Linked DNA regions of Arabidopsis thaliana. The protein of the gene in region 1 interacts with the protein of each later gene in a pairwise test. Each region holds a gene or a part of one and is shown on either strand. Other genes may lie near its edges.

Region 1 (4,616 bases):
TTTTGGCGTCAACTTGCTGCTTCTGTAAGTACAAAGCTTAATTGCTATACAAAAATAAATTGAGGAGAACAGATAAATATCAAAGACATCTCGACCGAACCTAATCAATCCAACAAAATTCTACATACTCGATATCCAAATTTAGCAAGATCTATGCGATTCAAGTGTCTTGAGGCATAAAAGCAATCACAGTGAATAATCGAATTTGAAGTCAGGATCAACAAACAAATACTAACAAACTAGATCTAGGCATACCTATATAGAGGCTGGGATCTTCGTTCTTCAATTCATGTTAAAGAATTTAATAGCCATCATCTTCCAAAAAAAGAGTAACTAGGGTAGAAAAAATAATCGAAAACATAATTCAAAATAAAATATAATTATGAATCTAGAATTTCAAGTCTATTTTAAAACCTCTATAAATTAATATTCGATAAATTAATAACCTCTATAAATTAATAAATTCTTCCTGTCCCGAGTTGGGACCAGTGTATAAATGTATACAAATCGATAAATTAATAAGATAATAATTTTTTTGAAAATCCTATGTAAATATATGGTCTCATCAATATTATGTAAAACTTAGTAAAATATGACTTTAGTATTATTTTTCTTCAATTTATATAATTTATATTAATTCTGTGTAAAATTTAATTCTAATTATTTTACTACGTATAAAAAAGTTTTTTTTTTGTTTTAAACATAATAAAGGTTTTCTACTTGTAATTGATTTTTAGAAAAATTATTGAGTGTATAGAGAAACTACCTTTTAGATCAAATTTTTGTAAAAAATTACAAATTTGTAAAATATCTCCATAAATTAATAATTATTAATTTATCGATAAATTAATATCTCTCTAAATTAAAAAAAATTTTGGTCCTGACATTATTAATTTATAGAGGTTTTACTGTAGTTACAAACTGCGCATGGTTTGTCAAATTCTAAAACATGCTTTGTTTATTTTGAAAATAAAATAAAATGATACTAGATGAAACAAATATAATGAAAAGGATATTTACCAATTGATTATTCTTATATTTCCATATTTTTTTATTTTAGCTACTATTTTTGAAAACTTCCATTAACTCTTTCACTAAGAGCTGTGATAGTACACAAAAAAAAAAGCTGTGATTCAAGTTTTTCTACTCATAAAATATGTCTTTGATTTTTTGTAGTAATTATAGGCCGTAGGCCAATCTTTCAATATCATACACGTAGGCACGGGCTAGTGCTGGCCCAAATTGGAGATGGTCTTAGTGGTTAGAAACGAATGTTTAAATTCTTAATTAACTTTTGTAAAACACCAGATAGTTTGTAATATACGACGAGATAGTTGAAACTTATGTCCAAAAAAGAAACAAAAGAAAGAGAGTATGTTCATATAGTAATAGGGAAAAGAAAGAAATATAACCGTTGGTGATTAGTCATTTAGTTGGATGACAAATCTCTCTCACCTTCACATGGACCAACGGCTTCTATGTCCCACCAATTTGTACTCTCAATCTCCTTTACCTTATTTATTCATTACACCAAAGCTACGACACGACATGGCTTTTGTTTTATTTTCATTATATTTATGTTATTTAATGTTACAGTACATACAATATTTAGCTTTTATGTCATGCATTGGTTATTAGTATTTTGTATTACTAGTAAGATTGAAAACGGTTTTAAGAATGTAGGAGTGTGTTTCACAAAATTGAGAGTATTGCAATTACATGAGAGTGTTCAGACTTCAGAGTATTACAAACCTAACAAACCTGGATATTGTGATATGACTGGCTTTTAGGTTTTGTAGGTCTCCCATTTGATTATAAACAAAATGTATTTATTACCTATATTCCAAAAGTACCCTTATGTTCCATGTTCTCTTCTTATAAAGCAACACACAAGATGCAAGAAATCTCCATAACTAGAGAGAGAAACTAATCTTTTTAGTGAGAGAGAAATCTTAGAGCTGAGCTAAGAAAAATGTCAAAAGAAGTGAGTGAAGAAGGAAGACATGGCAAAGACTACGTGGATCCACCTCCAGCTCCACTTCTAGACATGGCTGAGCTTAAGCTCTGGTCTTTTTACAGAGCTATCATCGCAGAGTTCATCGCCACTCTCCTCTTCCTCTATGTAACCGTAGCTACAGTCATTGGCCACAAGAACCAAACCGGTCCTTGTGGCGGTGTTGGTTTACTCGGCATTGCGTGGGCCTTTGGTGGCATGATCTTTGTCCTCGTCTATTGCACCGCCGGTATCTCCGGTAAATATTTCCACAAAAACCACAAAAATTTCCATAAACTTCAGTTTCAAGATCTTAATATGAAGTTGTTTAGCAATGATACATTTATAATTCAAAGATACATTTTTAGCAAGTTTTTGTTTGGTAAAATACCTTTTTAGCAAGTTGGTAAAATATTTCAACAAAACTTTATCCTAAAATTACTAAACCTTAATCTTCAACAACTTAATATGGAGTTGTTAACTTGCAGGAGGTCACATTAACCCAGCTGTGACATTTGGTCTGTTCTTGGCTCGTAAAGTGTCGCTCCCTAGAGCAGTTGCTTACATGGTGGCTCAGTGTCTTGGAGCCATTTGTGGAGTTGGACTCGTTAAGGCCTTTATGATGACTCCATATAAACGTCTCGGAGGCGGAGCTAACACCGTAGCTGATGGTTATAGCACCGGAACTGCTCTTGGTGCTGAGATTATTGGCACATTTGTCTTGGTTTACACTGTCTTCTCCGCCACTGACCCCAAAAGAAGTGCCCGTGACTCTCACGTCCCGGTTAGTAAAACTTTGCAAACCAGTTTTGTATAATTTATAATTATTCTAAAGCTGAATTTTTTACTGTTCTTTCATGGTTTCAAAATGTGATTGTGTAATTTCTAAAAATAGTTATTCTTTTCTAAATTTTTCATAGATTTCATGATGGGTTTTTCTTTACTGTTTTTTCATGATTGAAATTTTTGAACATATTTCTAGGTATTTAGGTTTGTGTAGTTAATAAACTTGAATTTTTCTGAATATTTATCGTAGGGTTTGACATGGATTTTTGTAATTTTTAACAAGTTGAATTCTTTTGAATTTTTTTTCTTATGATTTCACATGGGTTTGTTTAATTTCTGAAAAAGTCTTTTGAATATTTTTATTTTTATAGGTTTTGGCTCCGTTACCTATAGGGTTTGCTGTGTTCATGGTGCATTTGGCTACTATCCCCATAACTGGAACTGGGATTAATCCAGCCAGAAGCTTTGGTGCTGCTGTTATCTACAACAATGAGAAAGCTTGGGACGACCATGTAAATATAGTTCTCTCTCATTAACAATCAATTTACTTATTTTTTTGTTGAATAATTACTAATTAAGTTTTGGGTTAATGGATTTGAATTTTTAGTGGATCTTTTGGGTTGGACCATTCGTGGGAGCATTAGCAGCAGCAGCATACCATCAATATATCTTGAGAGCTGCAGCAATCAAAGCTTTGGCTTCATTCCGCAGCAACCCAACCAATTGATGATTCATGAGACTTCTTAGAACAATTTGAGATCTTTTTTTTTGTGTGCTTAATGAGAGATATTTGTGTGTTTTAATTTGATGTAATCGGATTTATTCATTTTCATAGTTTAATTTGGTTTAATTCATCTTTGTCCGTTGCTTTCTTTCATGTAGGGCATCTTATGATTCACTTTTATACTTTAGTACGAATTAAAACATTTGTTACAAGTTTATATGAACCCACATGCATGTTCGTATAAAACATTCCTTGGTGTTTTTGTCTTATGTTACTTGATTCTTCTTATCCGGTGGTCGGATCATAAACCACTCACATATGACATATTGACACATGTTCCTTAGTTAGAATAATAATAGACTATAATAGCTAAAGCCTTGGGGCATGCAATAAGGATTGGAGTTTAGCAATAAGCATTATCACGTCTCGTCTTTTCAGAATTGTAGAGACAGAGAAGTGTGTGTGGTCCTTCTGATAAAGAGGTCAAAAATTTCGAAAAGGGCTCGAAAGCAGACGGAGATGAAGAGAAAAAGATAAAGGACCACCACACTAAAGGGTCCACACTCTTCACCATAGACCACTTTACACATTAGTCTATCCATCTCGATAATAACCGGAATTCGTACCCAAACCTTAAATTTAAGCAGATTTCTTCAAAACATTTTCTTTTACCAAAGTTGTGTGTCCTCGAGTTTGGCTACATCAGCTGATTCTATTTTTGACAAAGAAACAAAGAGAAAAAGTAAAAAGCTAAAACTTTTTTCTTGTTACCGTTTGTTCTCTCTAGCGAGAGCTGGTACAGAAATTTTGTTTGAATTTCAAAGTGGGCTAAAGAAACGTTCATTCTACAATTTAGTTCTCTCAAGAAGGATAATTTAAGGACAATTAATCAGACAACAGCATAGTTTACTTTCGAACCAGAAATCCATTCCCTTGTTTCCAACATGTGAGCTCAAGTAGCTTAGTCGGGTAATGCAGTTCCTCGTTCCAAGTTGTTTTTGATCTCCAGCGTGTATTTCCCAAACGCACGCTCGATTTTCTTGTTGAAATGCTCGTTTCTGTCGTTGATGGAATCGATATCCTTCTCTTCCCGGAACTTCCTCCTCCTGCTAA
Region 2 (6,800 bases), on another chromosome or scaffold:
TCTAAGTTTCTGATTAGTATTCTTTCGTTTAGAAATTAAAACGCTTGCAAATTCACAACTTGCATAAAATTAGTAACTTGCACATACGTCGACGGGAAAATTCACAAGTACAGTAGGGAAATTAGGTAAAGAGTAATATAACGATGCTATATGAAAAGTAAAAATTCAAAGCCACGAAAGTAAGATCAAAACTAGATGGAAATACAGTTTTTTAAAGAGAAGAAACGTTTTCACTCGTCGTCAACTTCATTGATATGGCTTCAGCAGCTGAGTGAAGTGTACGAATACGGTCAATCAAGTTAGCTTTCCTCACATTCAAGGCCAAACAAAACTCGATAGGAAGAATGTAAACAGACACCACTAACAACTGGGAATGTGATGAACTAATTAAAAGGATACAAATCTAACAACAAACCGATACTTTGGAGTGTTGTATTTGTTCTTGTCTTGATTAATAAGACGGATTCTGGCACGATTATCAGTCTTGCCATCTATATTAAGAAAACACGAGAACTGTCACAACAAAATGTTAGCTTTTGATTAAACAAAAAATAAATGTTTCTATCTGTGTAGAATGATTACCTCTTCTTCTCCTGGATTTGACCTGACCCCTGAGTCAAGGATGACGATTGCTTTTTCACTAAACCCTAAGTATGCCACTTTAAGGCCTTCTGTTATTGGGCCTAAAGCCCAAAGTTATTAGGGGAGAAATTGCTGTAATAATTTTACGTGTAACCTATAACTTTTGACCCAATTTAGCTAGTTCTAAATTTGCAAAACAAATCTCAGCATCCGAACGAAAAGAAAACAGTTTTTTTTTATTACACTTTTTCTGTTGCCGATGTTAACGGTTCCAAGAGACGAACAAAAGTAATTCTTGGCAATTATAAGAAAAATAGAAAACAATTTTCAGAGTCTTTACGCTTCGGAGACATCAACGTTGTTCAAAGCTTCTTCTGGTGACGATGATGCATCTTGGAGACTTTCAGAAGTTTCATCAGAGGGTTTCGATTCATGCTTAGCAGCAGCTTGCAAAACCCGGCTTCGAACATCTGAAGAAGAAGGCGAAGTTGGGAGGCCAACACCATTTGTTTCTAGTTTTCCTGCAGCCCACGAGAAAGCCTGAGCTCCGAGTTTCACAGGTGCAAGCAACAGCCTTGAAGAAGAAGATGAAACAATCTTTGTTAAGACAGAACAGAGGTTTCGCTGAGTTTTTGCTATGGAAAAAGGGTCTAATGATGGCGCTTTTATACCTGACGTCTTGTTTGAAGTCTTCGGAGTCATCATATGAAGAAAGTCGTAGGTATATAGTCTGCATAATGTTTGAAACTTGAAAAACAAAACAAAGCAACTATAATTTGACAAAACTTAGAAACTGGAAAGGCTAGTATATACCAGACTAAGGCCGATGACAGCTATGAGTTGCAGTGTTTTCTCCCACTCTGCGAGAGATAGAGCAATCATGTTAGTGCAAAACGTGGATGTGAGGAGCTTGTGTGTTGTGGAGAATATGAGATATTCTAAAGGGGAAATGAGAAAGAATTAAACGCACCAGACAAAGCATACAATGCTGCGAAAAAACCCTGCATATATCTTCTTATATTAGTCAGGATGGGATTATTATTAAACGGAAATAGAAAAATAGAACTAGAAGCATACCACACCAACTCCAAATAGTTGCAATGGAGAGGGATTTATGTCCTCAAAAATCGCCTCAGCTTCCTGAAAAGCATTTAAGATATGTTTAACTTACTGATGAAAAGATTTGAGAGCAGTTTCAATTTCATCTAGCTGAAGAAACAGTCCAAACATATTTGTATTCATATGGTATTACCTCGTTGAGGATGGTAAGTGTTGTCTCAGGTTTTGGCTCTTTCACACGAAGACCTTCCTGTACCCATGATCTATACCCACCTTGCATCAAGTATGGCCTCTGTCACATCATAGGCAACCAAAGAAGAGCTTATTCGAAAATGTTTAAAGGTAACTTATTGTGTTCAAAGTGAATTATGCCTGAATGACTTGCCTTAATCCCAACTTTTCTCAGGGCTCTTGCAATACCCTTTGAACGAGTTCCATCAGCATCCATAACAACAACCTTGGACCTGTCCTATTAGTGGGAGAGTAAGCAAAATTATGAGATGTCAGCATACTTAGAAACTGAAACAGCTCGAGCCACAAAACCATAGTAAGTTACAAAAGAAGCATGAAGGTAGCACACCTGAACTATTTTCAAGTTCTTGATGATTACTGCTGTCAAGATATCATCTACTTCACTTCCACCTTTCAGTAGCCGTTTGACATCACCGTCAACCTTAAACATGAATCAAGAACAAGAACCCATAAAAAATGTGAATAAAGAAAAGTCTGATATCCTACTTCTGTTGCACTGATTGCTGAAACCTCGTTGTGTTCATAGATTACATGTGTAGAGTTTCTATATTCGCTGTGGTCAACAACAATGAGGATGCTAAAACCAACCTCAGGCAGTGTCACGCTAGAATATCGAAATCGAGCTGATCTCCGCAGATCAGGTATTCCATCTTTCTCTCTCAAGGCCTTCAAAAAGACAGTAGCCAAAATGAGCATTTTTATTTCAACCCAAACTCCTTGATGAACATTATGTGAAAGAAATAATCAAATTGTGGTGGGTTTTGAAAAGTTATATATCATGAAATGGGAACTTGTTAGAAACTTAAGAGCGTCTTACTTCAGGCCTGACATCTATGAGCACTGACTTGTCTCTTGATTTTAAAAGGTCCAGAGTTGACTTGGGAGACAAATCTCCAGCATATCCACCATATGTCCAAACCCGATATAGAACCCTGCAAATATCTGGTGGAAAATATAAATTCTTCTATACTACATTGTCCTCTCAAGAAAAGCAAGTTTAATATCCTTCTAGGGTAAGAAAAGCCGTGTACCAAAAGGTTCCTGTGGTGCCTACGAAGAGAAAAAGGTGAAGGATTGGGTCATCTGGATCCAAACCGATATTTCTCTCCAAACCTCCAATGGCAACAGATACCTGTTCATCATGATACTGTTAGCAACTGTAGTCCATAAAGAATTAATTTTCTTCTACGAAAATATGAATGAACCTTCAGTATATAAGACAAAGCACCTGCTGCAATACAGCTCCCACGGGACTCAATACTTTTAGAGCAACATCTTCTGACGAGTTAAGGGCACTCTTTACATCTGGAGGAAGTAATTCTTTTGCTGATCCATAAGAGTACACAACAAAAGAAACTCCATTTGTTACAGATCTCTCTCCAAGACTAACTGATTGCCTCAGCAGATCAATGGCAATAACAGCTGCTCTGTTTGAAGCTTCCTTCAAGCCAGTAGAAAAACTCGAAAACTTGTCTCCAGCTACATCTCCCGTTTGGTCTAGCGTAGAAAACGCTCTGTTAACTGCACTATCTACAACTTCAGAAGCATTCTTTGTAATGGATGTCACAGACGAGGAGAAGGACTCCAAAGTGTTCTTTACAGCATTTTCTCCTTGGTTAAGTGAAGAGCTGAAGGACTCCTTGACCCCAGAAGAAAAGTCATCAACGCTAGCTTTCGCATCAGGAAGTGAAGAGCTGAAGGACTGCTTGAGCCCAGAAGAAAAGTCATCAAAGCTAGCTTTCGCATCAGGAAGTGAGACTGAACTATCCGGAGATATTTTAACAGTCGCATTGGTTCCCGATTCAACAGAGTCTATAAGGCTACTGGTCTTATCGGTTAAAGTCTCAGCAGAAAGGCATTCAATGGGGGAAACATCTGGTACAACAGCTTCAACAGGAGAAACATCTGCTGCAACAGCTTCAACAGGGAACACATCTTCTCCATTTTCTACATATGTCAGTCCCTCATCACTCGCTACAAAAGCTTCACTCATGTTATAAACCATGTAGTTTATTCTGTCCAACTCATTCTGGCACAAACTTCCGAATGTTGATACTGGTTGTTCTGTTTTTTCGATAGTACCGGTCAAGAAACTCCCAGTGGCTTGAGGTACGAAACTCTTCTGCAGGCGTGTTCCATTAGAGATACCAAAGAAGGCATTGTCACCTGAACTGTATCTGTGAATCAACTCTCTCCTGAAGGAAGAACAGCCTCGCCAATTGCCAGGAAATAAAATCTGCAGAAACAAACCCGTTATGAGGTACTTACTTATCTATGAAAATGAATCCAAAAACCCAAAGCACTAACAAAGCGTAACACCCATAGCTCAAATTGGATGACTTCAATAAATTTGCTACCAGTTAGCTTATTTACTTTCACTTCTATAAAGAAAATCTAACCTGAGAATGGTAACGGCAGCTTGTGGCCGAGCACAGGGGAAACATGTTGGTCAGTCTTGGATTCTTACAGCAATCTCATAGCTTTCACAACATACCAGAAAAGGAACAAAAAAATACAATTTCAAAGAGAAAATGACGATCCAGTAAATCTGAACCGGAATAAAGAACGTCCTAATGAGAACAAAACAAAAATCACAGACCAAGAAGAAACAGTGTCTCAACAAGAAGAAGATTCAGACAAAAAAGACTCCAGCAGCAGATTTACAATAATGGGTGTCGTCTGAAACCTGCAACAAGAATACCCATTATTCAATTACTGAGTCTGAGCATGTTTGGAACCTTGAACAACAGAAGCAGTTCAAAGAGAGATCAAATGCAGTAACTTTAATAACCTATCAGGGTCAAGGTCGATGATGATGAAGTTTCATGAGAAGAGTGGACTGAGCTTGATGAAATATGTTAATGGCGACTCGATTGAAAAAAGATAGAGGCGCGTGGATTCGATAGAGATTGTGTCTCAATTTGGATTGGGTGGAGCAAGATAAGCAAAGCGAATCGTGTGGCTTGTCCAAAGCCGTTAATTCATCATCTCTATACTTTATTTTGTCTTTTCTTTTGATTGGGTCTATTCGTTACATTTTAAAACTAATTGGACCAATTTTCAAGTTATCAATAATTTCTTCTCTTTTTTCATAAATCAATTAAACAGATTCACACGTGTCGTACTATGATTGTTTTTGTACTGTGTGTTGGGTAACAGCAGATTTACTCTTCTTCCTCTTCGTTTGTTCGTCTACGAACGACTTGGTAAATTTTGCATCTGATCATCTCTACAACTTCAAGGTGAGTTCCTTCTCTTATGACTTATGATTCGATTCGGGTTCTCTGAAGAATTTATCTTTCTGCTTTCTCGGAATTTGAATTATCGATTTGCGTCTTTAATTTTGCTATTCTCGGAAAAAGTCTCAGATCTCTGGTACTCGTTTTTTTTATTACTTCTATCGAAATTTGTGAGAAAATTCTGATCTTTTGTCTCAGTTATATCGGAGATTATTGTTAGGAAGATGATCTCTCTGTTTTGATTTTAATTGGCGTTGATGAATCGTTTTAAGTATAGAACTAACTATGCTACATTTTTTGGATTCCATTGCTTTTTATTTCTCTGATGGAAGTTCCTTATTTCGTTGACTTTTTGCTAGATTTTTGGTTCCACATTGATATCTTGGTCCCTGAAGCTGTCAAAGAGGGCACCTGGTCCGCTTGGTCCTGAGCTCAGATGGATCTGCATCCACCAGGTTAGTTTCTTTTTGAAGATTCAAGTGTTTTTTTTTTTCACTCTAGCTGTTTTCATCATTTGGTTGGCTAATTTTCTTATCTTCTTGGTGTAGGTGGTTCAAAAAAGACATCTGTAGTTGTTGTCACCTTAGACACTGGTGAAGTCTATGTCATTGCAAGTTTGTTATCTAAGGCTGATACTCAAGTTATCTATATCGATCCTACGACTGGTATCCTGCGGTACAATGGGAAGCCTGGCCTTGATAATTTTAAGTCAGAGCGTGAAGCCTTAGATTATATTACGAATGGATCAAGAGGAGGTGTTAGAAGCTCTGTTTATGCCAGGGCAATACTCGGTTATGCTGTCTTGGGGAGCTTTGGGATGCTTTTAGTTGCGACCAGGCTAAATCCAAGTATTCCAGATTTGCCTGGTGGTGGATGTGTATATACAGTGGCTGAGAGTCAATGGGTCAAAATACCACTCTACAATCCACAGCCTCAAGGGAAAGGTGAAACCAAGAATATTCAGGAGTTGACTGAGCTTGACATCGACGGGAAGCACTATTTCTGTGATACTAGAGACATCACTCGGCCCTTCCCAAGCCGTATGCCACTTCAAAGCCCTGATGATGAATTTGTTTGGAATAGATGGTTGTCCGTGCCTTTTAAGAATATTGGGCTACCTGAACACTGTGTCATTCTTCTGCAGGTTCGTCCTCCATTAATGAATTGATGAAGGTTGATCTACCTATCCGATTTCGGTTTTGTGTGAAGATTCAAAAGCATATAAATTGATATGACATCATCTTCTTATTTGATGTTAATTATAGGGGTTTGCAGAATATCGACCTTTTGGGAGCTCAGGCCAGCTAGAAGGGATTGTTGCTCTAATGGCCCGTCGTAGCAGACTGCATCCAGGGACTCGTTACCTAGCTAGGGGCATTAATTCATGTTCTGGCACAGGTGACATGCCCCCCTAAAATGCTCCTCTCTCTTAATTTCTTTGTTGTTCTCTTAAAAAGTGTGGCTCTGGATTGACTAGGGCCTAATTTAGAAGTATATGTGTAGTGCAGGTAACGAAGTTGAGTGTGAGCAGCTTGTATGGATACCTAAAAGAAATGGTCAAAGCATTGCTTTCAACTCGTACATTTGGCGACGTGGCACCATACCAATATGGTGGGGTGCAGAATTAAAGATGACTGCGGCAGAAGCAGAAATTTATGTGGCAGATAG

The links.
Region 2: the proteins of PIP2;8 (region 1) and AT3G59780 interact in a protein complementation assay, tested with the Arabidopsis thaliana proteins (one large-scale study listed by BioGRID).

The regions. Positions count from the first base shown.
Region 1 is NC_003071.7:7,299,675-7,304,290, forward strand, and holds PIP2;8 (plasma membrane intrinsic protein 2;8), read left to right. Parts: upstream 1-1,659; 5' UTR 1,660-1,972; coding exon 1,973-2,252; intron 2,253-2,481; coding exon 2,482-2,777; intron 2,778-3,150; coding exon 3,151-3,291; intron 3,292-3,386; coding exon 3,387-3,506; 3' UTR 3,507-3,835; downstream 3,836-4,616. Other genes in the region: AT2G16860 (GCIP-interacting family protein), read right to left, coding at 4,465-4,616. UniProt on the Arabidopsis thaliana protein: Aquaporins facilitate the transport of water and small neutral solutes across cell membranes.
Region 2 is NC_003074.8:22,084,443-22,091,242, reverse strand, and holds AT3G59780 (Rhodanese/Cell cycle control phosphatase superfamily protein), read right to left. Parts: upstream 4,911-6,800; 5' UTR 4,685-4,910; intron 4,580-4,684; 5' UTR 4,338-4,579; coding exon 4,293-4,337; intron 4,130-4,292; coding exon 3,122-4,129; intron 3,026-3,121; coding exon 2,925-3,025; intron 2,826-2,924; coding exon 2,711-2,825; intron 2,560-2,710; coding exon 2,482-2,559; intron 2,315-2,481; coding exon 2,222-2,314; intron 2,111-2,221; coding exon 2,027-2,110; intron 1,934-2,026; coding exon 1,835-1,933; intron 1,723-1,834; coding exon 1,660-1,722; intron 1,584-1,659; coding exon 1,553-1,583; intron 1,443-1,552; coding exon 1,396-1,442; intron 1,313-1,395; coding exon 1,254-1,312; intron 1,157-1,253; coding exon 919-1,156; 3' UTR 714-918; downstream 1-713. Other genes in the region: SAC9 (sacI homology domain-containing protein / WW domain-containing protein), read left to right, coding at 5,569-5,587, 5,681-6,276, 6,398-6,530, 6,641-6,800.